Linked DNA regions of Saccharomyces cerevisiae S288C. The gene in region 4 interacts genetically with the main gene of each other region. Each region holds a gene or a part of one and is shown on either strand. Other genes may lie near its edges. The genes, in order: FKS1, CYK3, SPA2 and BNI4.

Region 1 (9,417 bases), on a different chromosome or scaffold from region 4:
GAAAAAAACACGGGAATTGGATAACCTTCAAATTCTTTCGTTCTTTCCCTATATCCACTAGTACCATACGTGGAATACCCACACCATTCGTACATATTTATCCCATAGAAATCAGCTTTAACGTCTCCGCAAACGAAGTACCTTGCTAAATTGTCTCTTGTCATAGCATCGTCATTAGTTGAATAGCCGACAGGGATTTTTCTATGATTAGAATGCGAAATATACTCCTTGGCATCTCGGATTGCGGCCTTCACGAAGGGTGATGCAAAGGTATTTGTATGGTCATTTGTCACTTCATTCCCTGCAAAATACCCCAACAAATTTGGAAAGGATGACATTGCATCAATTACAGATTTGTACCTTTCAAAAATATGTACATCCCAAGATGGATTTTCTCTATTTATTGAAATATCAGGCTCTGAAAGATCTAATAGGACGTACATTCCTTCGGCAGATAGAGCTTCCATACATATATCATGTGATTTTGTCGGATCTATTGCATAAACACGCAGTGTGTTCACTCCTAGCATTTTCAAAAATGGAATATCTCTTAAGCATATTTTTGGGTCCGCTAAGGCATCAATATAACTTGTCTCAAAAGCCCCATTTGCATTGCTAAGCTCCTCTTCACTTCTCTGCAATTGGTAAGCAATGCCCTTGATGAAGAACTGTTCCCCACTCTCAGAGTCAAAGAATTTGTTTCCTACAATTTTAATAGCAGGGGTTTTTTCAAAGCTGACACCTGAAGAGCCATGAGACAATTGCAAACAAAGAAAAATAGCCACAATAATGGCTGCGTAAAAATTTTGTTTCTTGTTCATACTTAACTGAAAAGTTTCAAGTACCTCGAGTTAACGAATAGTAACGGATGTAGGTTGTTGAATGTTGTCTTTGTCTGACAATCTTCTCGTTGGGGCTCGCAACTATCTAGCTAAATTAATTCATTTACAATCAGAGTGACACAAATTTTTTCAGAATTACTGACACCGAAAGCTGCTCCGTTTTTTATAAATAGAGGCCGATACTGGTGAAAAAAACTAGACAAAAGACTGTTTATAATCACATAACTGTACAAAAAAACCCTTATTGGCATAAACACATTCATATACCTATAATATAAAACTAAATTAAAAAGACGCTTCCAAAAATAAGTAAAAAAGCATCAACATTAAAACAATCTAAACCAAAAACATCGAACGGTATTTGCAACATCTTGAGAGTTTCTGGTCTACTTGCTTTTGGATAGAATATCAGTAAAATCAAGCGTTCAAGCAAGTATTGATTGTATTATTTTATAGTTGACCAGGTCTTTAATGATGGCGTATGAGTATAGTAGTGACTTTGATAAGTTGACATTTGGGAACCAGTGTCATTATTGGTTGTATTTATTGGTTGGAATAGATTGTGAACAACGCCATCCAATGAATCTCCAATGTGTTTGTGGATCTTAGCAGAGGCTACAGCAGGACCAATAATGCATCCTGCAAAAATAGCCAATACTAAAAAGTACAAAGAGCAGTACTTCTTGACCATACGCTTACGCAAACGAGTTTGCTTCAGAGAGTAAATTGGGGGACGAATTTGACGAGAGGGCTTTAGCCAGAATAGCATAATCGAGTGGAATTTATCTATTTTTGGGATTATAATGAGTGGCAGTTGACAGATTAAAATCACATGACCTAGAACAAAATCAGCTGCAAATTCTGAAAGCTCAATTACCTTGGCGGTTAATTCTCTACTTGGCTGGGTCCAAGCCATGTAACCCATACCTTTACCATACCACTTACCAGTCCAGAAGGCTGTATTGGCATGATCGTTTTTAAATTCACGAGTCAACATTAACGCTGTCATGCAATGAAAAATGAGTCTTTGACATTGGATACAAGTAACGACTCCGATTAACATTCTAACAAAGTTGAAGCTCTCCAAAACCCACATGACAATGAAAAAGGCAATGTGGACAATAACAGCAACACCGTGGGCAATTCCAGCCATTACAGAACCTGTCTTCTTACAACACATACCAAATAAGGGACCAGAGCAGCATGACATACCCATACAGAAGAATAGAACACCGAGGTTAACGGCGATTGGCGCCAAGGTACAAATGATGATACGTAAAACAGAATTCACCCTATCATCATCAGTAGTCTTGACACCGGTTTGAGCATTAATAAACGTGAAGGCAATAAAACAACCAGCTGCATAAATTGCACAGGGTATGATTTCAGCCATGATCAAATTGGTTCTATGAGCCCTGCTTGCGTCACCAGCAGCTTTCTCAGATTCATCGCCAACCAGTTTACGTTTAAACCCAGTAATACGTGCCCTAGACATCCTCACGTAACCAATCCACGAGTTTCTATGATATTGATTATTACCTCTTGATAACCATCTGATATAATCCCTGTAATCCAAAAAGAAATCTTCCCAAGCAAACTGATGTGGATTGAAAACGAAAGGCGCAAAAATTAATGAAGATAGAGAGGCCCAAAACCACAGTAGTGGAGCTTGCCAATGTGCGACAGTACCGAACAGCAACATTAACATTGATCTTGCACCCATGTAGATAGCAGATCCTGCAAATCTTGAATACAAAATTGAAAATGGTATACGAGAAGTTGCAAAACCACGACCGGTGGATATATAACGAGCACCACCAATTGCTAAATCACTTAATAACGCAGAAGAGTAGATTTGGCCCGCAAACACTTCGAACATAGGGGATAATGATAATAGGTGGCAGAAAAATCTTTGGGTGGCTTTCCATAGACCACGTTCAATTAGTTCTTGAACAACAATAGGAACGAAGGCAATCCAGAAAACAATGAAAATAGACAATGTATAACGTCTCACCCAATCAACCGCAGGTTGGAAGTTGTAACACCCAATTGGAACCAAAACATCTGTTTTTGGTTTGTTCCTATCGTAAATACACATAATAGATTCATGGGCCAAGGAAGATAAATTCACCAAAGTCAACATAAACATTTGCAAAGATAATTGAATGAACAAGTTGTTCAAATGGAAACCAGGATGGGCATAATAGAATGTTAGGAAACGGTCCACTGGTAATTGGGTACCCAGATAATAATATTCACGAGATAACATTTGTTCACCCATACCAGCACCAATCTTAGTAGTGAAATTTAGAATTGTACCGAAACCCAAATCTCTACCTTTACCACATTGATAATACTCACAATGCTTGATACGACCACCACGAAGCATAGCATTCATACCAGCATAAATATCTTCGTTTAAATGCAAACCCTTTTGTGCTTTGGAAACACCACCTCTAGTGGTCATAAACGTAGCATTAATGAAATCCGGATGACCATAATGCAATTTACCACCAATTTGAGATAAAGTACGCGCAAATAATGTACCAAAAGTTTGTTCTTTACCAGCGGCCACATCACCCAGCACACCAGAGTTTTCAGAGAAAATGTATTCTCTGGCACCAACAATAGCAACAGGATGATTAGTTGTTTGCTCCTCATACCTTAAACCGGGAGCATATGGATTAACTTGTTCAACGTTCAATTCCTCAAATTCAGCCAATACAGATCTAATCTTCAGACATTCTTCCAAGTAGTTATCTTGGTTGGCATCAATTAATTGAATGTATTCACCTCTGTAAAAAATCAAAGCATGGTTTTGGTTATCAGATTTACCGTCACCAAGAATTGGGTTACCAGATAATTGAACTCTAAACTTGGGACGTCTACGACCATTATCTAGAATTTCACAATGTCCATCAATCAAAGCGGAATAGATTCTTGGCTCCTCACCTTCAGTCAAAGGTGGCTCTTCATCCAAGTAGGCAATTTGTAAGTCTGGGTAAGCTCTCAACAAAAACTCAGCATTTTCCAGTTCATGTGGTTTGAATTTAGCCAATCTCTGCATAGAGACCAAAAATTTAAACTTTCTTCTTGCCATCTTTTCTAGCTCTCTTTCTAAGCCTTCAGCATTACCACCAAACATTTGAACAATTTCAGGATTTTCCACACGATACAGTAATTTGATAGCTCTTGAATAATTCATGAACCCTGAAATGGTACGATATAGAGTCTGCGACCTCAAAGAAGCCCAAATTCTCGTACGAAGTGTATATTCTGGAGCAGCAGATTTAAAACCAATACAATAAAATGGCAAATCATCGATTTGAGATTTCAAAGCATCTTCCTTTTCAGCTTCATTTTCATTTCCTTCATAGGCAGCGGTTTCTTCAGCCAAAATCTTAGTATCCTTAACAAAACATTCCCATTCAACGGGATGTAATTGTTTTAGATATTCTAAAAGAGTAACTCTAGAAAATTGGTCATCTTCACGAATAATTTCTCTTAATGACAGCAGAATTCTTTCCGCGTAGTGAGGAGTCAATACTGTGAACGTTGGCATGTTATCAACTGGAAGTGGTTCGGGAATTGGAGTAGACAAAGATTGAGCAAAGAAAGAAATACGACGCTCAGCCTCTGAATCCCTAGGGAAAAATTCAGTCTCAAAATTATTGTCATCTTGAGAAACAAAGAAGGTAGGAGCTCTCAAAGTTCTTTTACCTTCGATTTCAGATGGAACTTGATGATATAGTAATTTTTGTACATGGTCGATGGCTAAGAGATGTTCTCTGTACATTGAAATAATGATGGCATTCCATACTTGAGAAATCAAAACCTTTGGTTTGTATTTAATTTCCATATCAGTAGTAGCCAAAATCTTGGAGTATATTCTTTTTGGCAATCTTGTGAAGATATTTCTCCATGGTGTTAAGATAGAAATACCTAAATAGAAAGATTTCCCAACAGAGAAAATGGTATTCACAATAATGTACCATAAGTAGGTATCCAAGAAGAAAAGAATGAAGTCGGTAGCGATAACCAAACCTAAGACAATCTTGGGTTGCACTTTACAAAGTACCGCACCCCACCAGTATTCACCTGTACACCTCATTGCAGTGGTGGACAAAATTCTAATTGGATCTCTCAAAGATAAAACTAAAAAGTAGTACGATTCTGAATATTTGGCAGCAAAAACAGTAACCCAAACTAAATAGGACATCCATCTATCTAACCCATGTAGAGGGGCAAATGCAGCAGTGAATGTTTGAGATGCAACATAACGCCTTGTAGATTTTTTCATATATGACGTAAACAACCCCCCCAATGGCATAATGGAGAAGAATATGATGGTAGCAACCGCAACAAAGAACATAACAGCAGCAACAACGTGTGCAGCAGTGGAGTAGACTGTATCTTTGTCGTAAGCAAAAACAAAAATAATAGGACCCAAATTAATACCAAAGATGATGCATAAAAACCAGAATCTACGAGATAGATGTTGAGCACCAGCCCATTTTCTTGGAACGAATGACCATTCACACAAAGTAGCGACAATTTGAATCAAACTTGCGACAGTACCACCTAATGCGCAAGATGCCCACTTGTAAGCAGCCAAAGGTTGGTTGTCGACCAATTGTTGATAGTTATGAGTGTAAAATGTTGGTGAATTATATGCAAAGTACATCCAAAAAATGGAGATATGCATAACCCAAATACGGTTGAAGTTGGTGACCAAATGTAACCAAGTACGGGTCTCTTTATATGTTTTGAAGAATACATCATCCCAGACGACATCGCCTAATCTTAAATAACGTTCTTCCAATGGGAGTTCTATCAATTTTGTTCCATCTTCAAGAACAATCTTTGCAATACCTTCTGGATACCAGAACAATTGGTTTAAATCATCATAACCGACAATTTTGTTATGATCTCTTTCACGCTTGACAAAACGACCATCAACAATTTCATAAACTTGATTTCTGATGAAATGATAAATTGGCGTAATGACTCTATTCAAGAAATCACCTTCTGGCATAGGTTCTTGGCGTTGTTGGCAAAGAGGGGAATCCAAGTAGTCAAGAGCACACTTGTAGATAAAACATAAACATTCAGCAGTGAATCTGACTTGATTAGCTTCACCCCAACATAACAGATATAAGGCGATATGACGAACTCTTTCCAGGGGAGACAACTGGTTCATCTTGGCCTTCCATCTAAAATCAGCAGCCTCTAGGGAGTTGTCGCCTTCAATTTTGTTTAAAGTTTCTTCAGTGTCTTCGGGATTGGCCTCTTCCATTGCTTTCTTGTTTTTCTTCTTAGCTTTTCTTGCCTTCCTTGAGAGTTTTCCAAGACTCATATTTCTAAAACCAATTTCATCATCCATATCTAACTGAGCAGCAAAATACCATTTTTTATAGTTAGCAGTATCGCCACCAATGTAGTCGGCATGTAAAGATAGTAAAGCTTGATCAGGAGACATTCTCGAGGACCTAGAGTCCAAGAGAACCATAAAATGATCAAACATATTTCTCATGGAGTCTCTTTGGAACCCGAGTCTGTTGGTCAAATCAATAAAGATATCTTCGATTTGCTCGATCGAAACGGGAGATTGAGAGTCAGCAGTCCAAGCGGGATAAGGTTCATTTGGCAAAGCCATAGCGATAGCATTTGGGTCATAATTACCGTAAATTGGAGTCGAGGTACCCGACGAATTTGGTTCTCCATAACTCATTTGAGAAGCGGTATACTGACCACCATAGCTATCATATCCAGGTGTTCCAGGAGGGCCGTAACTGCTAAAATCCGAGAAGTTTTCACCGTCTTGAGCAGCCATATTTGGCGGTTGACCATAGTATTCACCGTTTGTGTAGTCTTGGTCGTAAGACTCGTTTGGTGGTTGTTGACCATACATATCAGCTTCAGTACCAGCAGCGACATTTGGATCGTAGTAACCATCAGCTTGTGAAGGATACAAAGGCTGGCCATATTGGTCATAGTCTTGTTCCTGACTTTGCCCGTTACCTGGTCCCTGGGTATAGTCCGTTTGGCCCTGATAAGGTTGTTGATCAGTGTTCATGGTCTGACCGTTGTATGAAAGACTTGATTTCAGCTACTTGCTTATTTTAATTTTTTTGAGCGAACGTAAGAGAGGTTAATGTCCTCTAACTATCAGTCCAATGACAGTATTTTCTCCTTCTCACAAACTACAATAAATATCTACCAATCTCTTTTCGAATAAGGACTAATGATATACGCTAGTTCCTGTTTGGTAAATGAAGGCTAGTGTTCGAGAATGGAGAACTTCGTAGTCGGTTAAAACAGCTGTAGTGTTCTGGCCTTCTTAGAAAGAATAAATAGTTCAGGAGTAAAATCAAAATATCTTTTAATATAAACTAAGACAAAGAAAGAAACAAGAATTTTGATCTGAAAAAATCGAAAAAAAGGAACGAATGGATCGATGAAAATTTTCGAGACTAGGTTATAATTATTTCTTTTTTTAGATTTGTGCGCGTAAAAAACGGAACCAGAAGAAGCCAAAAAAAAAAGAAATTCTTCCTGTGCTTCATCAAAACGCGAAAATTCGTCGCCCAGTAAGTGAGACTATTTCCTATAATAGAAATCCAAGTGGCAAAAGCGTTAGACGCAGTACAAGGACGCGTTAAGAAAAATTTCGAGAGAGTCGCCGATAGTAGGATTAGAGTTTCATAACGCGTTACACGGAAGGAGAGCAGTAAGGAGGGCCCGATACAGAAAAAAAAATGGCGCTTGTTACAGATTCTGATTGCCCGTACATGACATGGTCTTTCTTTTCTTTTTCGTTAATATTTCTGCTTTTTCATGTGTGTCGAAAATAGTTAGCTCGATAAGATACTGTGATAGGCAAAAAGAAAGTTTGTCCTTCCGCATCGGTGCTGTCCCTCCTTAGCTGAGGGTTCGGTGTACCTGTGCTTTTTCGGAACCAGTTCTTGGCCCGCTAAAAATCGCTACGTCCATCCCTTTGTCTTAGTCAAGCACGAAGGAATTCGAAGTTTATCGTAATTTTGCTTTGTTCTGGTCCCTTGGTTTTCTCTTTTTGCATAAATCTGGCAGTATCGTAAAATGTGATTTGCACAAACCAATGCACAGAGGAGAGTTGAAGTACAGATAGAATGCGTTTACGACATTACTTAGGCCTTTCCAGGGCGCGAAAAGACAAAATATGGATTGCCCTTGCTAATTGTGTAGATGTTTGCATGCCGCGGTTTTATCGCTGCGTCACATATGGGATTTTGATTGATTCAAAGCCTTGATATTATCAATAAATGGTTCAATCACATCCCATTTATTGAATTGGAGGCCTTCTTCGTCCTCTTCTGTACTTGAAGTGATTGATTCAGATTCTGCGTTTGAGGACTCTCTTTGTTGGCTTTGCTTCATATCTTGAACAGTTCCGTTGCACCAAGCGCTCAAGAGTTGTTGCCGTTTTCCTTCATTGTTCTTTAACCAGAGTTGAATAATTTCATCAATTCCCAAAAATAACTGCGGAATCTGGTGCTCAAAGACAATTTTTATGAGAATTTCAATAAATGACAAAAATACTTCATCGGAAAATTTTTCTAAAAAATTGACAGAATACATGAACTTAACGATCAAGATAAAGCATTTTTGAATCTCTAAAACAATCGTTGAAAATACTCTACTGAAAAGAACGTAGTTGATAATAGTGTTTCTATTGTGGCATTGATCTTGTTCTTTTAGCTCGATTCCGAATTTGAAAGTTTCCAAAATAGAATTGGAAAAATGCTTCAAACGGCACATTATGTCCACTATATTTGTGGAGGGATACTGACCCTTTAGCTTGCAAATTATGTACTTGTCATTGTAGCATTTCAAATCTGCATCAAACATTTGTAATAAGTTTATGTTCTTTATCAACGTTTCGACCCAAATATCGTGCACAATGAACTCAATTGTGTTAATGAAAGTAGATTTTTCGAAAGCCTCATCAGAAGAGTCGGCCAAGAGTTCAATGTCTTCAAAAAAGTTTAATAACACCACGCAGTTCGGAAGTATTAGTTCTACCAAATTTTCTTCGGGATTATCTTTGCTTACTCGAAAGTCATAGAGCGTATTGAATAGTTTTTTGTTTATTTCATTTAGAGTCAACGAACATTTTTCAAGGGTGGCACCAGATAATAACTCAGCATAAGGGACATTATCGTCAAAACTAAATTCTATCACGTCTTCATCTGCAGTATTTAGCATAAAAGTTGCTGAGTTTGAACGAAGACTATCAATGTTTCCATTTTTTTTTGAAAATTTTGACTCCGCTATATGGTTACAGTCAATACTCTGGGTATATTTACCACTCGAAGCTGGGTCATTACTGTTGTTAATTTGGTAGTTTAAATTAGAAGAATTATCATCTTGAATTCTATCCCACTTTCCTTCTTTCTCATCGATCCTTATCGGAACTGCGTCAGTTCCAAACTGGCTTCTGATAGTTTCTGCATTACCGCGATGGAGCTGTTCGCTTTTATGGTGCCCTGAATTGTTTTTTGATGTGAATAAAGAATCATCTAATGGAAAAAAACCT
Region 2 (6,732 bases), on a different chromosome or scaffold from region 4:
GGACTTATCAACCTCTTCAACAGAACCTGGATTAATTATATCAAGGCAAATGGCTAAATGTGTAACTATCCTCAGAAGATAAGGCTTATCTATAATATCGTTACTAGCTTCGGTTCCCTTGACGACATCAAGCAACATTTCCACGGATGAATGAATAACTGATGGCAAAGAATCTAGTATGACAGATGCCATTAAAACTCTGATTGGATGTTCACTTTCTGAGGGATGCCTTGAAGCCACTCTATTAAGCACCTCTTGTACAGTTAGCGCGTGTGAAGGTAATGGTAAAATCAGTTCATCAGTACCTACTTGATTGTTTTCCAAAAGATAATTTTCAATTTCAGTTTGTAAAATTTGATTTAAGTGTATGTGCAGATCAGACTCCCAATCCGAATATTGCAGAACTTCTTGGTTGGGAATAGCGCCACTCAAATAGCTGTATATCGCCCTTTCATAAGGGTCCAAACCGGCCTGCTGCGAAAGGCTGTAAACTGTTCTTCTCCACAAAGAGTGCTTCTTGATACCTTGCTGGGTATTGAATTCGTTTGCAATTTGCGTATCAATGACAGGGTTTAAGTACTCTTGTATCCCACACAGGATCATACAAATTGAAATATTGTCGGAAAGTTTAGCTTCTTCTAATGCTTCATCAATCGCACCGGCCAAAATTAGTTCGTAAATGTATTTGAAGAAAATATGATCTTCTTCTTTATCTTTAACATCGAGGACATTAGTGTTTTCTCGTAAAGGAAAATCCAAGTCACAGCTTTTCAATCCTCCAGAAGTAATACTATTTAACCATTTTGAAGTTGGTACATTTTTGGGTCTTTCCATCACATATGTATTTTCTTTGAGCCAAACCATCACTATCCATATTTGATAAAGTTGTTTGTTGTCTTGCATTAATTTCTTTTCAAATAAACCCCTCGAGTTATAAGGATGAAGTTCCATTTCATCTAGATCAAGATCAGCGTTCCTGAAAACCAGTAACAGTTCTACTAAATGCCAAAATCTAGCTTCCAGTTCCCAATCCTTAGAAGATATGACGTTACTTTCATCTCCAGAATTAGCCAAATCTAACGCAAGCTGCCCCGCGGCTGAGCGAAACTCTCTTATGATGTTAAACGGGTCAATGGGGTTTTGCTCATTATTTTGTTCAATTTTGAATTCCTTTAAAGTGTCTGAGAACTTTGTGAAGCGTTCTGTTTGATAAGTAGGGGATAATTCCATTTGAAATGGCTATGTATTTTACTTCGAAGTAGCACTCAATTGGTTTTCAGGTTGAATTAGCTGATATACCTCGTTTTCGGACTTGCCTAAACAATTCAAATGTCGTATGTATTTGAGCATTTGGTCTAATTTTTCATATTTTCTTCACCGAAAACATCACTAAATACGAAAAAGTTGGACCAGCATAGCTTTTATGAATGCAATGGATAAATCATTAAATAATAAGTACTATATAGCCATATATGAGTTATGAAATTCACCTTCCTGAGTAGAATGTATGTTGAATGATACAGATTATAGCGCTGTAAAAAAATTTGTGAAAAACGTTTATACGCACAACCATTCAGCAAAAACGGACCACCCAATACCAGAGTCAGCGATCACTAAAGCGCTCCAGACGCCGGGCTCTTTGATTTTAATGCTTCCTTTCCAGGTACCATAAGGAAAGTGGGGATCGCTCTTGACTAGCTCATGAACTCTTCCTGAGGGTGATTTTATTGCCATTGGTTGTTTCCTATTTTGGTTCGGCCCTTCATCACTGCTGTATACAATACCATCGGAGGGACTTTGAATAACTTCGAATGAGTACTCATTACCAACAAATAGATATCTACTCTGTGGCTCGACAATGTATAGCTCAATCTTCTGAATGCTTTCTGAGGGTATCTTGATCACAAATTCGTATTTCATGTTACTTCCCTTATGTGTTAATGGGACCATCATGGACAGTGGATGGATATTGGCAATACTCGTTTGCGTACCTCTTACACCTGAATGTATGTACAGTGAACCTTTGTTCACATTGGGTGGTAGGACTGCTTTGATTAGAGCAATTCTTCTACCAGACTCGGCTTTCTGCTTTTTGATTTGGGTCAGTGCGAGTTCCATATTCCTGTACGCAGATGAAGCTTCTTCATTATCCGTTGGAATAACCACGGATGCAAAGACTTCAACGTCATTGGGAATTTCTAAGGAGCATTCGTAGATCTCAGAATCTTCCAAAAATGATAGTGCAGTACTAAATTTGTATAACTTTAACTCATTTTTGAAAAAAGATGGAAAAACTAATGGCAGATACAATGCAGATAATTGATCGATACTAGGAACAATATGCTGCTCAAATTCCCTAGGCGGTATATGTGTGTATATCATTTCTAATGGTGCCATCAAAAAGTAGCTATTTTCTGCTTTCTTGATCTTTCTGTTATTTACAAATTCATGAATTGGGTTGGTTACATTTCCTAAAATAACGTCAATAAATCTCCATTCTTTGTTAACCAGTATTCTCAACCAGCAGTGGTTATACTTAAACTCCCAATTTATAGCACTCGGTGTTTTCAGGAAACCTATAACAATTTCACAAGTGATTCCCAATGAGTTTGCTAATTTCTTGAAAAGCCATGTCAATTCATATGGCGTACAATGCTTTCTGTATAGTATTTTCTCTAAATTTTGGGGTTCCGCAGAAAAATCTGACGTTCCATTATCATCAGTCAGAGCAAACATCTCTGTGCAAAAAATGTATATGCCTCTTAACTTTTCCAGAACAGTTGAGTATCTTGCTGAAAAAGTTGTTTGAGCCCAACTGTCTAATGTCATAGTTCCGTCTCTAATACACCGTTTCCAAGTCATCTTATCAATGTATTCTATGTTTAATTCGGCCAGTTCCACATCGACCAAACCGGGCTTTGTATTACCTTTGACTTCATTGGTATTTAGCCCGTTATAAATCGAATCTTGAGGATGTAAGATCAAGTCGCGATTTTCTTCGAGAGCTCTCATATACCTCGGATGTTTGTCATATTTGGTAAGAGTCCTTGCTCTGTTCAAGTGACATTTTACCGCAATCCAATCGCGAGCTTCATCGGGTGTTGCAGACAAGTTTAAATTCTGAATATCTGGTAGTTTAGGATATGCTTTTGGTGACTTTGGTGAGGATACTGAACTGGAGTAAATATTTGTATTCCTCTTTGGAATAATTATTTTCCTAAGGATATCACCCATTTTTCCATTTCTCGAACTAGCATTGGAATCACCAAACTCCTGTGAATCATTTATCTTTGTAGAGCAGCCATTTGCATTCTGTGATCTTTGCAATGAATCGGAAAACGATTGTGCATATTTATGTCTGGCGAAACTTCCCGCGCTCGTGGCACTAAAATCACTCATTAAGGCAAAACTGTTCTCACTACTACAAGCAGAATCATTTAAGTACTGAGAGTTTGAAAACAGGCCTGATGAAATAGAGTCCTCTTCTAAAGAATATCTCTTTTCTGGGATAAACCCATCATAGAATTTCTGGTTGTCTTTGTAATAGTTATATTCTCTTGAAGAACGTGCCATATGTAAATCGTTTGCAGAATATGATTTCTTTGGTGCCCTTTTATCTGTCTTTCTCATATTGTCCAAATCTGGTAGTGGCGGTAGAGGTGGTAACGGATTGTTCATGGACTCCTCGAAATTTCGTACTTGAGGCTTACTATGGCTAGCCAAAGGTAAATTTGGAGCTGAGTTATTATGATGTCGAGAGGATTGGGTATTATAGATATTTTTTTCATTTACCATTTCTTTTGATTTTGCCTTTCTAGCCTTTGTCAAAGAATCTACCGGCTTCTTGGGTGAATTGGGCATTGATGAAGATAGCTTCTTTTTAGGCCTTGGCCTCTCGTCAGAATACCTTGATGGTACTGGTGGAATAACAACTTTATTTGATTTTTCAAAACTTTCTACTATTTTTGAAGGTTGCCTACCATTTTCAGTGCTCGAATTTAATCTCTCCTCTAATAGTATGACGAAGTTATGAGGAAAATACCCAGAACATTTTTTGTTTCTCAATAACTTGCCGTAGAACCAAGAACCGGCAATCCTTGTGACTTCCATAATATCTCCCTCCAGAAAGCCTAAGTCGCCTTTAGTTTGGCCCGACCAACCATACCTGGCCTTCACCTTAAATGGTGGCTTCAAAGATGTTAAGTTAGTGGCCATTATGCAAATTTAAATGTAATACGGTAAATTCAGGAATTAAATGTTATAATTATAACTTCGGGACTGACCTTTAATGTTTCGAACTAAAATTATATGCGGTAATTAATACGGATAAAAAGATATTATTAAAAAAAGTGGTAAAAGCAATGTATGCTTATAGCAAACAGTTAATGTGTTAAAATATTAAGGACGAAGTGAAATCAGAAGAAAGAAAAATTAGTTTAACAGCAGTAGATCAAACTGATATTATAGATATGTTATGCAAACAGAGTCCCGTTAATTTTGGCCTTTTCTCTTGTTTTAACTGTATAATATCCAATTGTAGAGAGTAAATGAAACTAAATTCTCCTTTTTCAATACTTATTTTAAATAGTTGGTCCAAGCATGCAAGATATCAAGCTTGATCTCACCATCCTTTTCAGATCAGCTCAATGGCCACCAAACCAGCCATTCGAGAATTTTTCACTTCTATCGCGCCCTGACAGGCACCACCATTAATACATATTTAGAAAAAGAAAACCCTGCAATATTCAACTAGTTACGAAATTCACCAGTCTCAAGAACAAGAGGGTACGCTGAATGGATACAAACACTAAAGGATGGTGTTTCATCAGCGAGACAATGATTTTGTAATTTCTTGCTTTTTGGGTTTTGCTGAATCTCCAACGCTTGTGGTGACTGTTTCCTTTTGAATATCTATCAGTATCTTAAATGTTAAATATGTGTCTGCGTTATTGACCTATTTCTCTTGCTATATTTAGAAGTTGTGTTTGTTTCAAATGACTTAGATTTGAGTGAACGCAAAATTGAGCTTGAAAATCTCCAAGTCAACGGTGTAGTAGTATATTGCTTCCACATTAAATTCTCACGAGGGGGTGATTGAAGTAAAAGGATAAGCTTATACCAAAAGAAAAGCAAATAGCACAGCGGGAACAACTAGAAGGTACACAATTTGTGAAGCAGCATACATGACTGAGCAAGCAACTAAGCCAAGAAATTCATCGCATTTGATCGGGGGCTTTTTCGGTGGGCTAACATCTGCTGTTGCGTTGCAACCTTTAGACCTTTTGAAGACGAGAATCCAGCAAGACAAGAAAGCTACATTATGGAAAAATTTGAAAGAGATAGACAGCCCTCTACAGCTATGGAGAGGTACATTACCTTCAGCATTACGAACATCAATAGGCAGCGCCTTATATTTATCATGTTTGAACCTTATGCGCTCATCTTTGGCAAAGAGGAGGAATGCTGTGCCTTCATTAACAAACGATTCAAACATTGTATATAACAAGAGCAGTAGCTTACCACGATTAACGATGTATGAAAATTTACTAACAGGTGCATTTGCAAGAGGTTTGGTAGGTTATATAACCATGCCTATCACCGTCATTAAAGTCCGTTATGAGTCTACTCTGTACAATTACTCCAGTTTAAAGGAGGCAATTACCCATATATATACTAAGGAAGGACTTTTTGGATTTTTCAGAGGGTTTGGAGCTACTTGTTTAAGAGACGCTCCCTATGCAGGTTTGTATGTGCTGCTATATGAAAAATCGAAACAATTACTGCCCATGGTATTACCTTCTAGGTTTATACATTACAATCCTGAGGGAGGATTTACTACTTATACCTCTACAACAGTAAATACAACAAGCGCCGTACTATCCGCCAGTTTAGCCACCACAGTAACGGCACCGTTCGACACCATAAAAACGAGAATGCAATTGGAACCATCAAAATTTACCAACTCCTTCAATACATTTACATCTATAGTTAAAAATGAAAATGTGCTGAAGTTATTTAGCGGGTTAAGCATGAGGCTGGCAAGAAAGGCCTTCAGTGCAGGTATTGCGTGGGGTATATATGAGGAGTTGGTCAAAAGATTCATGTAAAAAATAGACACATATTTCATTGCAATCTCGCATTCTTCAAAAAAGGTATAAATACGTGTCTTTTTAGTTTCTTTATAGAGTGACGTTGAAGCTTAGTAGTACGTTCATACATACATACATACACACACGGTACAAAAGAAAAATCATATCAATAACAAGGAAGAGAGACTCTAACTATGAAATAGATTGGATGCGTTACAAGTGTTTAAATAAATATAAGAGAGTCGATGGATAAGTGCACTTATTGGCTTTTAGAAATGGCCTTCTCAACTTCTTCAGTAAGTATATCTGTTAGCTTTGTGCCATTTCTTAACGAAACCCACTCCCCATTGAGAAGGTCAAATCTGTTAGGCCCGGACAATGGTGATGCCAACCAAATTTGCTTATTTGGAGGCTGTTTGTTTATTACATACGTTCCAAAAGCTGGAATTTCCAATGTCATTACGCCATGGCTTAGCTCTACATCAGGTATACAATCCGGATGAGCCTCACTCAGTTCTTCTAAGCTATCTAGTAAATGGTCTAGGTAGTCATCTGCCTCTTCATGGTATTTTTCAAGCGGTAAGTTTAACACTTCTTGAGGCACAACTTGACCATCTGTCGAGGATTCTACAAATCTCTTCTG
Region 3 (8,368 bases), on a different chromosome or scaffold from region 4:
ACTGAACAACAAACTTGTCGATGAAGCTGAGGATCTTACTTGAATCTTTACTGGAAAGGTGGAAGACTTTTGGTAAGAGAACTTTTTCAACGTAGATTAAAACATGGAATACAGCAAACGCGAAAAATGGGATTAAGCTGAATGAAAATCTTGGAGTGAACAACCAGAAGTTGGCCAAAACCAAATAAAGCACGTCTTCACTCTTTAGGAGTCCAGCAACGCGTGATTTTATGGAAGCCTTAGTGGCAGCGGCATCTTGAGTCTGCAATGGTTCATTGCGGGTGAAAAATTGCTGGTAAATGATGATACCGAAAGATTCGATGACACCGAGATATGCCGATCTGTAATAAAATTCTGACATCTTGAGCAGGTAAAGAATGGAGCTGATCAATACGACGGAATGACCGGTAAACCATGCAAACTGCAAGCTCTTGGCTACTGCCATGAACCTTTGCACGAGCGACTTATCTCTGGCAGGGAGGTTTGGGGGGCCTTGGTTATTAGCGGGTCTTGATGACATTATACTGACTATTCTTGGCTAGTGTTTCTTGCTCCTTATGAATAGAGAAAAATGACTTTTTTTAGATGTAGTAAGTATGTCATTTCAGGGATGGTCTGCTTGCTCTTTAAATATTTTTTCACCCTTTTAAAATGGGGCCCTTTCGCCGTACCAAAGAAGGAGAAATATACATTACGTATGTAGGTTGCTACATTTTACACAAAACTATCAATGCCTTCTAGGCTTCTTCTTGACCAGTTGAGAGAGATCATTGAAGTCACCAAGGGGCTTTTCGAGGGCGGGGAAGCCGATGGAGGTCGTGGGCTGCGAAAGAGGCCTCTTGGAGCCGTGCTGCTGATTTTCTTGCACCTCATCAATATCGTCTTGAATCTGTGCGAGCCTTGCCTGCTGTAACTCGCTGTCCTTGGGTCTTGTAGTCATGTGTTTTTCAAGCAGAGCCTTGGCATGCTTGAATCTTTTTAGTTTGTCCTTAGCCGGCACCTGATCAACCCACCTTAAAGCATCACACACCAAAAATTCTGCTTGTATCACCTTCTCAGTTACTTGTTCTGCGGGTTTCAAGGTCTTGTAATAGCCAAGCGCCTTCAAGTAATGATGAATGGCTCTACTGAACATCTCCGCCTCCCTTTCGATGTCACCCATCAGGATATACACATCACCGATGCGCAATCTGCTGTTCTCGGTTAGAGATTGGCCATCTGCTGTAGGGCGGCCCAACAGCATCAAGGCCTGCGCCAGTAGGTCCAAAGCATTCTCATACAGATCATTTTCAAAGTAAATGTGGAAACCAGACTTGCGAAGTTGCGATACGTCTTCAATTTCATCGTCATGTTCATTCGCTGGACTGAAGTTAGCCAATTCGTGCAAAGCTAAGCGTTCTTCCTCTTTCTCCACGTTTTCTTCCTCTTCTTCGCTACCTTCGCCACTGTCCTCACTATCACCACTGTCGACATCACCAGTCAAGTCTTCCTCTTCTTGGTCGAATTGGAACATCCTAGAATTAGGAATTTCTGTTTGACCGTTCTCGTTCCCCTCTTCTCCATTGCTCACATCAGACTCAGGCTCAGACTCAGACTCAGACCCAGATCCATCGTCACCTGCCAGAAGAGCGTCCCCAAACAGATTACCAGAATTCTGTACTTCCATGTTGTATACAGCTTGTGCGAATATAGTAAACAGTTCAGGATCAGGCAACAAACCATCTTTTGGGAGAGAGTCCAAAGTTTGTTGGCAGCGTTTAGCAGCTTCTAAGAACTTTTTCTGTGCGAGTAAATCTTTTGCAATTTGAACCTGTCTTTCCATATCAATTTGAACTTTATGTCTGCTAGTTCCGTTTGCCAACACGTCTTCTGCCCTTAGTTTCATATTCTGTTACTTCTAGAAGGAGACCTCATCGCCGATGTTACCTCAAAATTGAGTAGAATGAAATAATACAAAATTGGAAAAAACGCGAAACTTCAGTGCAGTAACATATCGTTCCGACATTCTCTGAGAAGTGGTAAGATTCCACTGCCGGGGAGCTACGAGTGCTCTTGCAAGTTTTTAGACACTGCTATATCCTTCGACTACGTAACCCCATTTTTTTATTTTTCTATATAAAAACATGCACTGTATACATATAATCACGTAAGTTCAAGTCGTGCTTAAAACGGGCACAGAAAACTAACTATGAGTTGCCGTACCATACATAAACTAGGAGAAGGTAGCGCAGTTCTTTTTTTTTACCAAAGGTTTGCACAAAAAAGATGGTCTAACGTAAGTAAGTTATCAATAAAACTGTTAAAAGTAGTATAAGAATCTTGAGATAGGCTTATTATTATGACTTTTTATGGCGGAAAAGGAAGAAGAAATACTGCGCCGGGTGATGCGTGACGCGTTTTTGGAAACGATGAGAATAAACTTTGAAGTATTTTGAGAATAATATTCTATTATCGAGTTCTTTCAGCAGAAAGCAACACATAGCTACGTATAGTTCGGTAAGATAAATTTGGTCAGAAGCGTGTGAAAGACGCTGAGAAACCACGTGAGACGAAGATTCAAATCAAGGCGTGAGGAATAACGCAATACGAGCCACCGAAACAGAATAAACAAAAGAAAAGAAAGAGTAAACATGGGTACGTCAAGCGAGGTTTCTCTCGCACATCATAGAGATATCTTCCATTACTACGTCTCACTGAAGACTTTTTTCGAGGTGACTGGCGAAAATCGTGACAGGTCAAATTCGACACGAGCTCAAAAGGCCAGAGCCAAGCTGTTGAAGCTATCTTCTTCGCAATTTTACGAGCTGAGTACAGACGTGTCCGATGAGCTGCAGAGGAGAATCGGTGAAGATGCTAACCAACCAGATTACCTTTTGCCGAAGGCAAATTTCCACATGAAAAGGAACCAGGCTAGACAGAAACTGGCCAATCTATCACAAACTCGATTTAATGATTTGTTGGACGATATCCTTTTTGAGATCAAGAGAAGAGGGTTCGACAAGGATTTGGATGCTCCACGGCCCCCATTACCGCAGCCGATGAAACAAGAGGTCAGCAAAGACAGCGATGATACTGCAAGAACATCCACAAATTCTTCCTCTGTGACTCAAGTAGCTCCAAACGTCTCCGTACAACCTTCTTTGGTCATTCCTAAGATGGCATCTATCGATTGGTCTTCTGAGGAAGAAGAAGAGGAGCAAGTAAAGGAGAAGCCAAATGAACCGGAGGGAAAACAAACAAGCATGGATGAAAAGAAAGAGGCTAAACCTGCTCTAAACCCCATAGTTACAGATTCTGATCTGCCTGACTCCCAAGTGCTCGCTCGTGATATCACATCAATGGCAAGGACTCCAACAACGACGCATAAAAATTACTGGGACGTTAATGATTCTCCAATTATCAAGGTAGATAAAGATATCGATAACGAAAAGGGTCCCGAACAGTTGAAGAGCCCTGAAGTACAACGGGCTGAGAACAATAACCCTAACTCAGAGATGGAAGACAAGGTTAAAGAACTGACTGATTTAAACAGCGACTTACATTTGCAAATTGAAGATTTGAATGCTAAGTTAGCATCTTTAACCAGCGAGAAGGAAAAGGAGAAGAAGGAAGAGAAGGAGGAAAAAGAAAAGGAAAAGAACTTAAAGATTAACTACACCATTGATGAAAGTTTTCAGAAAGAATTGCTGTCATTAAACTCTCAAATCGGTGAATTATCAATTGAGAATGAAAATTTGAAGCAGAAAATTTCAGAATTCGAACTGCATCAAAAAAAGAATGACAACCATAATGATTTGAAAATCACTGACGGTTTTATTAGCAAGTACTCTTCTGCCGATGGGCTCATTCCAGCTCAATACATCTTAAACGCTAACAACTTGATAATTCAATTTACTACTAGGCTTTCCGCAGTACCCATAGGCGACTCCACGGCAATTTCCCATCAAATTGGCGAAGAGTTATTTCAAATATTATCCCAGTTATCGAACCTAATCTCCCAGCTATTACTATCGGCCGACCTATTACAGTACAAAGATCAGGTCATTTTACTGAAGGCATCATTATCGCATGCGATCACATCGATAAGATATTTCTCTGTTTACGGTCCCGTATTAATTCCGAAAATAACTGTGCAAGCTGCTGTTTCAGAGGTTTGTTTTGCCATGTGTAATCTAATTGATTCAGCGAAAATAAAATCCGATTCAAATGGTGAGAGCACCACCTCTAATGAAGGTAACCGACAGGTATTAGAATATTCTTCACCAACTGCTACCACCCCAATGACGCCAACTTTCCCCTCGACTTCTGGAATAAATATGAAGAAGGGGTTTATAAACCCAAGAAAACCAGCATCTTTCTTGAATGATGTGGAGGAAGAAGAATCTCCAGTCAAGCCATTGAAAATTACACAAAAGGCAATTAACAGTCCGATCATAAGACCGTCATCGTCTAATGGAGTTCCAACAACCTCAAGAAAACCTTCAGGAACGGGGCTATTTAGTTTAATGATTGATTCATCAATTGCTAAGAATAGCTCCCATAAAGAGGATAATGATAAATATGTCTCGCCCATAAAGGCAGTAACATCGGCCTCCAATTCTGCAAGTAGCAATATTTCCGAAATTCCTAAACTAACACTACCTCCACAAGCCAAAATCGGTACTGTTATTCCACCGTCAGAGAATCAAGTTCCCAATATTAAAATCGAGAATACAGAAGAGGATAATAAAAGGAGTGACATAACAAATGAAATCTCTGTTAAACCAACTTCTAGCATTGCTGATAAACTGAAACAATTTGAGCAAAGTTCCGAAAAGAAATCATCACCAAAGGAAAATCCTATAGCAAAAGAAGAAATGGATTCAAAACCAAAACTATCCAATAAATTTATCACTTCAATGAATGATGTGTCCACAGATGATTCAAGCTCTGATGGTAACGAAAATGACGATGCAGACGATGATGATGATTTTACCTATATGGCATTGAAACAAACAATGAAGAGAGAAGGTTCAAAAATTGAAAAAAATAATGACAGCAAACTACCTGCAAATATAGTGGAACTTGATTTACATGAGTCACCGGAGTCCGTGAAGATTGAATCTCCTGAATCGATAAAGGAAATCACGTCATCTGAAATGTCTTCAGAAATGCCAAGTAGTTCGCTGCCTAAGAGATTAGTAGAGGATGTTGAGCCTTCAGAAATGCCAGAGAAGGGCGCATCTGTAGAATCAGTCAGGAAGAAAAATTTTCAAGAACCACTTGGTAATGTCGAATCTCCGGATATGACGCAGAAGGTCAAGTCTTTGGGTATGACAGGAAAGGCTGTAGGCCCAGAATCAGATAGTAGGGTCGAATCTCCGGGCATGACAGGACAGATTAAATCTTTGAATATGGCAGGAAAAGTTGTAGGCCCAGAAGCAGATAGTAGGGTCGAATCTCCGGGCATGAAAGAGCAGATTAAGTCTTTGGGTATGACAGGAAAAATTACAGCTCAAGAATCAATCAAGTCCCCGGAAGCGGCTAGGAAGTTGGCGTCATCAGGAGAAGTTGACAAAATTGAATCTCCAAGAATGGTAAGGGAAAGCGAGTCCTTGGAGGCAGTAGGCAATACTATCCCCTCAAACATGACAGTGAAAATGGAATCCCCAAATTTAAAGGGAAATACTGTGTCTGAACCTCAAGAAATAAGGAGAGACATTGCCTCCTCAGAGCCGATAGAGAATGTTGACCCCCCAAAAGTACTAAAAAAGATTGTCTTTCCAAAGGCTGTTAATAGAACTGGATCACCAAAATCAGTCGAAAAGACTCCATCTTCAGCTACACTGAAAAAGAGCGGGCTCCCAGAACCGAATAGCCAAATTGTTTCTCCTGAATTGGCAAAAAATTCACCTCTAGCACCGATAAAGAAAAATGTCGAGTTACGAGAAACTAATAAACCACATACTGAGACTATCACTTCTGTGGAACCAACAAACAAGGATGCCAATACTTCTTGGAGAGACGCCGACTTAAACCGTACGATCAAACGAGAGGAGGAGGACGAAGATTTTGATAGAGTGAACCACAATATCCAGATCACTGGTGCATATACGAAAACTGGAAAAATTGATTATCATAAAATACCTGTTGATCGTAAAGCAAAAAGCGAAGCAGAAGTGCATACTTCCGAGGAAGATATTGATGAATCAAATAATGTTAATGGAAAAAGAGCTGATGCCCAAATACACATCACTGAAAGAAAGCATGCTTTCGTAAATCCAACTGAAAATTCACAGGTAAAAAAGACGAGCCACTCACCATTTTTAAACAGTAAACCGGTTCAATACGAGAACTCAGAGTCGAACGGCGGCATTAACAACCACATAAAGATAAAAAATACTGGAGAAACTACGGCACATGACGAGAAACATTATAGTGATGATGATGATTCTAGCTATCAATTTGTTCCCATGAAACATGAAGAACAAGAACAAGAACAAAACAGAAGTGAGGAAGAGGAAAGTGAAGATGACGATGAAGAGGAAGAAGACAGTGATTTTGATGTGGATACATTTGACATTGAAAATCCGGATAATACACTATCAGAGTTACTATTGTATTTAGAACATCAAACAATGGACGTCATATCCACGATTCAATCGCTTTTGACATCGATCAAGAAACCACAGGTGACGAAGGGTAATTTGAGGGGAGAATCGAATGCAATCAACCAAGTCATAGGTCAAATGGTGGACGCTACTAGCATATCAATGGAGCAAAGCAGAAATGCCAATTTGAAGAAACACGGTGATTGGGTGGTGCAAAGTCTAAGAGACTGTTCGCGTAGAATGACAATTTTGTGCCAATTAACTGGCGATGGAATACTAGCGAAGGAAAAGAGCGATCAAGATTATGCTGACAAAAACTTCAAACAGCGGTTGGCAGGGATTGCGTTTGATGTTGCCAAATGTACAAAGGAGCTGGTAAAAACTGTAGAAGAGGCAAGTTTGAAGGACGAAATAAATTATTTGAATTCGAAGTTGAAGTAAAGTTAGTAGTATCTAGAGGAGAAAGAAAAGGAAGACAAAGACAATCAATAGAATGTATTATGTATGACATATAATAATAATAATTATAATAATAATAATAATAGTAGTAGCAGTAATAATAATATTATTATAGTATATTAAAACAACAAAAAATTAGTAAAAATACTATAAATGTTTGAATATGAAGATATATATGTAGGAAGAATTTTTATTGAATATAGAAATTTAAAGAAATATTATTAAAAACCGGAAAATGAAAAAGAAGAGTTAAAAAAAAAAAAAACGGAACTAGTAAAAGATGTGAAAAAAAGAAGAGAAAAGTAGAACGAGAACACCCACTATCCTTGGGTATTATTATAAGTTGCAATACCATCATCCAGTATGCCCAGATTAAACCATTCATGGTCCAGAGCGTCCTTTGCGGTAATCCTTTTTGTTGGGTCGAACTCAAACATTTTCCTGAGTAGATCGATGAACCAGTACCAAAACAAGAAAGTTTCCTTATCGAGTTCATCAGTAGTTGAGGAAGAAGAGGAATGTGTTTGTCTTTTCCATGCCAATTTCGAATTTATCAAAGACCAGTTTTTCTCCGGCGGTAGATTCCAATTGATGCTTAAGCTATCGCCGTAATCCTGTTTCAAGACCTTTGAGATGTAAATATCTAAGCGATCACATGACTGCAAGACCCTTTTCATTGACTTTTCGGTGGTTATGGTATCTCCGCGTTTATTTTTTTCAGGCCATTGTAAGCTTAAAGTTTTTCTGTCGAAATGCTTTATCACCGTTGAATTTAGGTCTGATGGAGAGTTGCCCAATTTATGTTTAGATTTGTAAAACATCTTATCAATAATGTCTGTGGGGAAAGGGGTTCCATTGATTCGTTGCATCATAGCCATATGTTCTAGATTTTCATGAATGGGGTAAAGAGATTCGCCAATAACCAGTTCTACTAGGACACACGCGATGGACCAAATGTCGCAGGGGAACGACCAGCCCAAGCCAAGGACAATTTCCGGGGCTCTATAGTGACGAGTGGATATTACAGGAGGATGATATTCGTAATGGAAAATTGCGCTACCGAAATCAATGATTTTGATTTCTGGATTTTTCAAGATTTTGCGCTTCCCCTTACTGGCTTCACGGCGTCTCTTGCTTAGCGACTGTACGGTTTTCAAAGGCAATTTTTGAGCAATATGGGTTTCGTCACAAATCAGGATATTTTCTGGTTTCAAATCCGTGTGTATTATGCCCAAATCGTGCAAGAAGCAGACAGATCTGATTAGCTGTCTGGCAATGGCCTGAATATGAGAGCCGGGGAACCTGGCAATGCCGTTGGA
Region 4 (6,559 bases):
TAGAATCACCATGACTCTAGCGTGGAGAAGAGAATTCGGTATTAGTCATTTAGGTGAAGAGCATGGTGATAAAATAACTGCTGACTTGGTGGCCGTCGAGAACGAATCAGGTAAGCAGGTGATTTTGGGTTACGAAAACGATGCTAGACCTATCTTATATTTGAAACCGGGCAGACAAAATACAAAGACTTCTCACAGACAGGTACAGCACTTGGTCTTCATGTTGGAAAGAGTTATCGATTTTATGCCAGCTGGTCAAGACTCTCTAGCTTTGCTAATAGACTTTAAAGATTACCCTGATGTTCCTAAAGTACCTGGCAATAGTAAAATCCCACCTATTGGTGTAGGGAAAGAAGTGCTGCATATTCTACAAACTCATTATCCAGAAAGACTAGGAAAAGCACTTTTGACGAATATTCCTTGGTTAGCATGGACTTTCTTGAAGTTAATTCACCCTTTTATTGACCCACTGACCCGTGAAAAGCTAGTTTTTGATGAACCATTTGTTAAATATGTCCCTAAGAACGAACTAGATTCGTTGTATGGTGGTGATCTGAAATTCAAGTACAATCATGATGTTTATTGGCCAGCTCTGGTGGAAACCGCGCGTGAAAAAAGAGATCATTATTTTAAGAGGTTTCAAAGCTTCGGTGGTATTGTAGGTTTAAGTGAGGTTGATTTAAGAGGTACTCATGAAAAACTTCTTTACCCAGTAAAATCGGAAAGCAGTACCGTGTAAAGGCAAATTTAGATAGATAATGATAATGCACTATAATATATAATAAATAAAAGAGAATAAAAAGTTTAATCACGTTCCCGCTTCTTTTTCCTAACCATCAAAGAATGCAATCTAAAGAAGAAGAAGCGAATACCCTCTTTTAAATATATACGCGTCTATATGCACTGTAGATAAGCTGTTACATATCAAAAAGGTTTGGCACATTTGCGCTTTTCTGTAGCGCCTGTAACCGGTGAAGTCATCATTTGCCAGTCTGTAGCATACATCAATCCACCAGCACCATTAGCAGCTCTGGCGAACACGACCCCAAGGTCATTCCTTGCAGTGGTCAAATAGTAGTTGGTTCCGTCACCTAATGATAAAACTTGCGCCCTAACAATATCTCCCGGCTTGAAACATTCTATCACTTTCACACGATCTCTGTCTGTAGACCGTACATCCTGAGACCTGATTATACCTCTGAATGTCTCACCTAAATCTGATGATGCTTGAGAAACAGAGAACGTAGCTGCTCCAGAACCGCCACCAGCAGCGACTATTCCCGATCCATTACTGCCGATGCCACTATCAATTGGAGATGGTTTATCTTCCACAGCTAAAATTTCGACATTGGCTCGTTGCAACGAAAGCCTTGTCACCCTGGTCAGCACAATATCACCTTCCTTCGGTAGGTTATTGGCAAAATCATTATTAGCATATTTGTTGGTTTTACGACCCTTTTCTGTCCCAGGAAGCACTGAAACCAGAATATTTTTTACAGTTCTTCTTGTGACATCATTAGGTGATGCATCTACTGATTTTTCTTCCTCTGTAGATTGATCAGTGCCTTCACGCTCTTCTTCCTGATCAGTTTTTTTTTCTTCCTCACACCTCACTGTCCCAACTAGTGTAGCAGTTATAGCTTCTAAAGTTCGTCCGTTGTGTTCATATTGAATTAGTTTAGTTCCGGGACCGGGCACATAATTGAAAATTATATCTTCGCCATCTTTATTTTCCGTACCGTACTGTGGGCATATTAGTTTACCTGGATAAGCTATTTCTGGAAACTGAAAATTGCATGCCATTATAATACACTTATAGATTGAGGTATTCAATGCTCTGGAAAAAATCAAAGAATCTTTAATATACAAATGCGTAGTTAATCATGCCGTACCATAAGCTCATCATCAGTGAATTCTGGATCTTATTTTTCTTTCTTTTTTCAATATTTTTTGGAAATTTTTACTTCACGTGACGGAGACGGGTAATGCAGACGGTATTTTGAAATGATGCCGCAAATACAACACATAACACCCAAGATTCTTGCGATAAATTATAGGTTTATAAAAACTAGAATGTCTTGATATGTATGATTTGATTCATTTCCATTTCTCCCAGTTTTCTGCTCTAATAAAAATGTGTGTAACATCGCGAATCATCGTGTACTTCCATTGCGCTCTTTAACTCATTTAATTCCAATTTGATCATTTGAGCCAGTTGTGGAGTAAGCTGGTTACAAGTGGAAATTTCTGGATGTCTATCATATTCGAATTCTCCATAAGTGTCGTAAAGTATTATCTGGGACGAAAACCGGACACCCTGGTCATTATTACTGTTTACATACACCTCACCTAGACTTGTTAAGTCTGATTTTACGGGAGAATCAGGCGTCATGGAGTCAATAAAAGAAGTATTCATTCTTGGGGCTTTTAGTCCTTTAAAGGACATTGAAACAGGTCTATTGGGTTCGAATTCTGGTAAATATGCATTATTTCTTGGAGTAACTTCTATGGGCTGTTCTATGTGTTTGTTGAAATCTTCATTCTCAAATTCGTTGTCATTTATTTCACTTCCGTCTTGTTCAAATGTATGTAATTGACCTTGACGCTCATCTCCGTATGTAGTAGCTCCAGCAGCGGAATAAGATTGAGTTTCTCTTTCTTTGTAACTATCCTCTTTGTTATTTCGTGTATCAAAAGTACCAGAGCGATTTACTTCATCATTTCCAACAGGTTCAGGGGTTTCTGTTGCATATGAGGCCGTTGTATCTCCCAAGTCTAGGTCTAGATTGAGATCATCATCACCGAAGTTAATAAAACTTGCAAACTCCATTATATCAGAAATTAACTCGTTATCATCATCTGCAAAAACGCTTTGCCTTTCAGAATCCTTCTTCAGAGGTTCTTCTCTTGGTTTTGGTACATCCCTTTCAACTTCAGTTTTTTCTTCATCAGAGGCCATCACTAGCTGGTCAAATTTTTGTTCAATAGACTCTAAAAATATGTCATCTTTTTTTAGTGGACCACTATCGTCCTTGATATCTAAAAAGTCCTCATTCGTGGTACCTTCGTAAGAGTGTTCTCTGGAGAAATTATCTGAGTATTCGAACCTTCCATTCTTTAAAATGCTGCTAGCAGGAGACTTCGTCAAGTCTGGAGTAGATAATACAACAGAAGATGCCTCAGTGATGAACATTCCCTCACTTTGCGCTTTGATCGATAGCGTATCTGTCAATGACCTTCTTTGCGAGTTCATTGAACTTCTCTTGTTAGACTTTGTAGATCTTGTTCTTTCTAAAGAAACGATCGAGTCGACTTCATGATTATCCAAAAATTTTGGGAAAAGAACCTCACCTGTATCGTGTTTGGAAAATGCTGGTGAGGGTGCTTCGTAGTCCAGTGATAAAAAATTATCCTTGGTTGGTAATTGAAGATCATTTTTGGCATCATCATCTTCTCTTACGTGTTCTTGTAGCGGGGTATTTATCTGTTTATCACCTCCCAATATGAGATCCATGTTTAAAGGAGTAGGTTTTCTCTGATCAATTGATCTCGTTACGTGATCTATTTTCACGGGAGTATCGTCGTGGTTTTTTCGTAGTAGAGGTGATTCAGTGGATAACACTGATGCGGCGTCAATTATTTGTTCAGTATCTTGCTTTTTGTCCTTGGATTTTGGGGTTCTTTTTTTTTGCCTCATTGGTTCCTTTCGAGGTGAGTCTGATGTTTCAATTTTTCCCTTTAGGAAGGAATTGAAAATGCTACTGCTACTGTGAGACTTCTTCTTTAGTTTTTCAGGCGTTTTTAAAGAGGTTTGAATATTCATTGAGAAAGTGCTCGATGAAGACATCTTATTTTTTTCATTCGTTACACTATTATTACCAATAACTGGTTTCGGTTCTTTCTTCTTCAGAAATGAAAATATACTCTTTTTCTTTTTATGCATAGAAGTGTCTTCAAGTACCGAGCCTGCTGAAGTAGTCCTTTGGGCAGAAGAATCAGTATACTTTCGCGCTTCTGCTTTGTTTAAACGAACTTTTGGGTTGTATAATTTACTCGAAGGAGGCGAGGGTTTCGGATCCTCTTTTAAAAATGGTGCGCTATGTGTTGTGCTTTCAGTTTCTGAATTAATGATAGTATTTTCCTCCCGCTTAACTGGTAAATTGTTGTCTCGTTCGAGAATAGTACGTCGTGTACTAACTTTGCTCCGAGGTCCCTGAGAATCAGGTTTTACTCTAGGAGTGGACAAAAAGTCAGGTTCTTCGAAAGACGGTAAACTCAAAGGGGCAACTTGAATACTATTGGATCCGTCAATGTCAATAAGGTTTGGAGAGGTCATCGCCAAGTTTTCATTTGCTTCCTCTCGTACAGACAGCCTGGATCCAGTTATATCCTCGTGATAATTGATCGAGTTGTTTTGCTCTTCGGCCTCTTCTTCTTCTTCTATTATGGAAGACTCAATATTTTGTGCCTTTCTAGTTTTTTGGTCAGCATATTTGGATCTTTCGTTCAGAATATCAGCCAATGCACTTAATGAGGGGGAAGTTGTCATATTTACCGTTTGTACTTCTGAGTCTCGGGCATTACTTTCTCCAAACGACCGCTGCAGAACTGAGCTTTCAACATCCCTATCAAGGACGGATTCGCATGGCTTTATTGATGAATTTAGACTTTGATCTGATATCTCCTTCAATATCAGAGAATTTCGAAAGGTTCTAGCATGATCAAGTGTATTTATCGACGTCGACGAATAAAAAGTAGAATTTAAAAGTTCTGAGGACTTTGAATCTGAAATACTATCCGACATATTCTGTTGAATACGTAGTGATATATCGTTATTAATAAAAACGCTGCTCGTACGGCTTTTGCACTCTGGTTGTTGAGATTTCTTTGTCAATTTATTTGAGTCGCTTTTCCTGTTGTTTATTTGCAAAGTCAAAACCTGTACTAATAAGCGAACTTGAGGGGGTCAACTCTAAGTGTGAGAATATTACACGTCTTGTTCTAAAGAAGATATAAAGCCAATCTGATTTCTTCGAATCTGAAATGATTTTTCATACTCGGGACGATAGAAGAGAGAAGTTGACTTGACGCGTCTCCGCTGACGCGCCTATATAAGACAAAGATTAGCTCGCGGGTAATAAAGAACAGGCAGTGATCTAAAGAATATATAATATAACCTGGGAAACTTATACACTTAATGGTACGGTTGTAGTTACATAATCGAGCAGTTCTTCTGCTGAGCAGTTTTTTGCAATAAATGGATTTTTTCATCATAATTATTTTTCTTGGTATTACTTTCCACGACGGTACTGCTACCGATGCTTGGTTTTGTACTTCCAGAGCCCTTTGGTGAGATTGGAGGCGTCGATTCACGGTCGCTTTTTATTGGAGTAGAAGAATTGTCTAAGAGTATTTCTGTAGGAATTTTATTTGTCGGTACTTGTGTTATATTATGAGGTATAGTAGCGTTTTTAGTTTTCACCATTTGTAGCTTGTTAACTGTACTTATATCATGCATCGCAAGTTTGGGAATGGAAAAATTTAAAACCACAGAGTCACCATTATACGAAAAATCTGGTTGAATCTTTTCCATTGGGTCCTTCCCTGCAGTAATCATACAATTTGCCAAATATGAGTAAAGTTGTCCCCATAGATTTTTGAGTTCCAGTGTGAGAAAAGATCCAAACCTGTCCTGCAATGTAGTCATAAATGCTTTTCCCATTACTTCGAAACCAACGGTTTTGATGCCGAGAATTCTGGAATGGCGTTTTCCTAATTTCACAATATAATCATCTAGGACATGAACGTTTTCAAGGTTGTCAATAGCAGAATCAAGGACCTTACAGAACGAAACTGCTTGATGTTTTAATGATGGAAAATATTCTTCTAACAAGGGATCCATTGCAATCAAATTGTCATAAAACTGTGAACAAAATAGTGCAGTATCAACCTTGTTATCATTGTCCCTTTGTTTTGTTTTACGTGGCCTGGCAGTAGGGTCAATAGTTTTGGAAATCATACCGTCAGGAGCAGTATTCAAATAGGGTCTTTCTGTTGAAGTAATATGTTTATTGGAATACAGAAGTGCTTGAAAAACTTTTAATTCTTTAGGTGTTAAATACTCCCTGAGGAGGATATCCCAGGACATTCGAAGTAACAGCAGATCTCTTGCATTAACTTTAAAGTCGAATCCTTCTGTATTCGGGGAGTCACCACGATCTATCTTGACCTGGTAGACACTACCTTCGGAACGTGAAATAGATTGTGGCATAAAATCGCTTCCGGAGTTTTTGGATGACATTTCACTTCTCATGGAATGATCATGAGAGCCAGGTCTCTCGTTTATTTTCAAATTATCGACTGGACCTATACTACTGCTGTTGTAGGAAGGCAGGGTTACGTTGTACATCATCGGTTTCGTATGGTGGACATTCCCGCTAGACATGTCGCTGTTGGTTAACAACTGCGAATGAAGTATTTTTTCTCCTGTCATACACAACCAGCTTATATGTGGATGAATGCAAACAACTGCAGCGGTCCGGTGGCGAGTCCCTTGAGG

The links.
Region 1: mutations in BNI4 (region 4) and FKS1 are lethal when combined (synthetic lethality), as found in Saccharomyces cerevisiae (5 studies listed by BioGRID, with this or other methods).
Region 2: mutations in BNI4 (region 4) and CYK3 together harm fitness more than expected from each alone (negative genetic interaction), as found in Saccharomyces cerevisiae (4 studies listed by BioGRID, with this or other methods).
Region 3: mutations in BNI4 (region 4) and SPA2 together harm fitness more than expected from each alone (negative genetic interaction), as found in Saccharomyces cerevisiae (5 studies listed by BioGRID, with this or other methods).

The regions. Positions count from the first base shown.
Region 1 is NC_001144.5:807,498-816,914, reverse strand, and holds FKS1 (1,3-beta-D-glucan synthase), read right to left. Parts: upstream 6,919-9,417; coding exon 1,288-6,918; downstream 1-1,287. Other genes in the region: GAS2 (1,3-beta-glucanosyltransferase), read right to left, coding at 1-821; YLR342W-A (uncharacterized protein), read right to left, coding at 932-1,105; SPO77 (Spo77p), read right to left, coding at 8,097-9,417. UniProt on the Saccharomyces cerevisiae protein: Alternate catalytic subunit of the 1,3-beta-glucan synthase (GS) complex. Synthesizes 1,3-beta-glucan, a major structural component of the yeast cell wall. Involved in cell wall synthesis, maintenance and remodeling.
Region 2 is NC_001136.10:246,064-252,795, reverse strand, and holds CYK3 (Cyk3p), read right to left. Parts: upstream 4,216-6,732; coding exon 1,558-4,215; downstream 1-1,557. Other genes in the region: NUP84 (Nup84p), read right to left, coding at 1-1,230; HEM25 (Hem25p), read left to right, coding at 5,184-6,107; YFH1 (ferroxidase), read right to left, coding at 6,349-6,732. UniProt on the Saccharomyces cerevisiae protein: Involved in cytokinesis by recruiting INN1 to the bud neck. Cooperates with INN1 to stimulate the synthesis of the primary septum (PS) by CHS2.
Region 3 is NC_001144.5:98,317-106,684, forward strand, and holds SPA2 (Spa2p), read left to right. Parts: upstream 1-2,630; coding exon 2,631-7,031; downstream 7,032-8,368. Other genes in the region: nucleoporin POM33, read right to left, coding at 1-520; HIF1 (Hif1p), read right to left, coding at 728-1,885; serine/threonine protein kinase KNS1, read right to left, coding at 7,370-8,368. UniProt on the Saccharomyces cerevisiae protein: Involved in pheromone-induced morphogenesis and efficient mating, perhaps as a cytoskeletal protein.
Region 4 is NC_001146.8:210,167-216,725, reverse strand, and holds BNI4 (Bni4p), read right to left. Parts: upstream 4,805-6,559; coding exon 2,126-4,804; downstream 1-2,125. Other genes in the region: PDR16 (phosphatidylinositol transporter), read left to right, coding at 1-739; exosome non-catalytic core subunit CSL4, read right to left, coding at 925-1,803; YNL234W (uncharacterized protein), read right to left, coding at 5,213-6,493.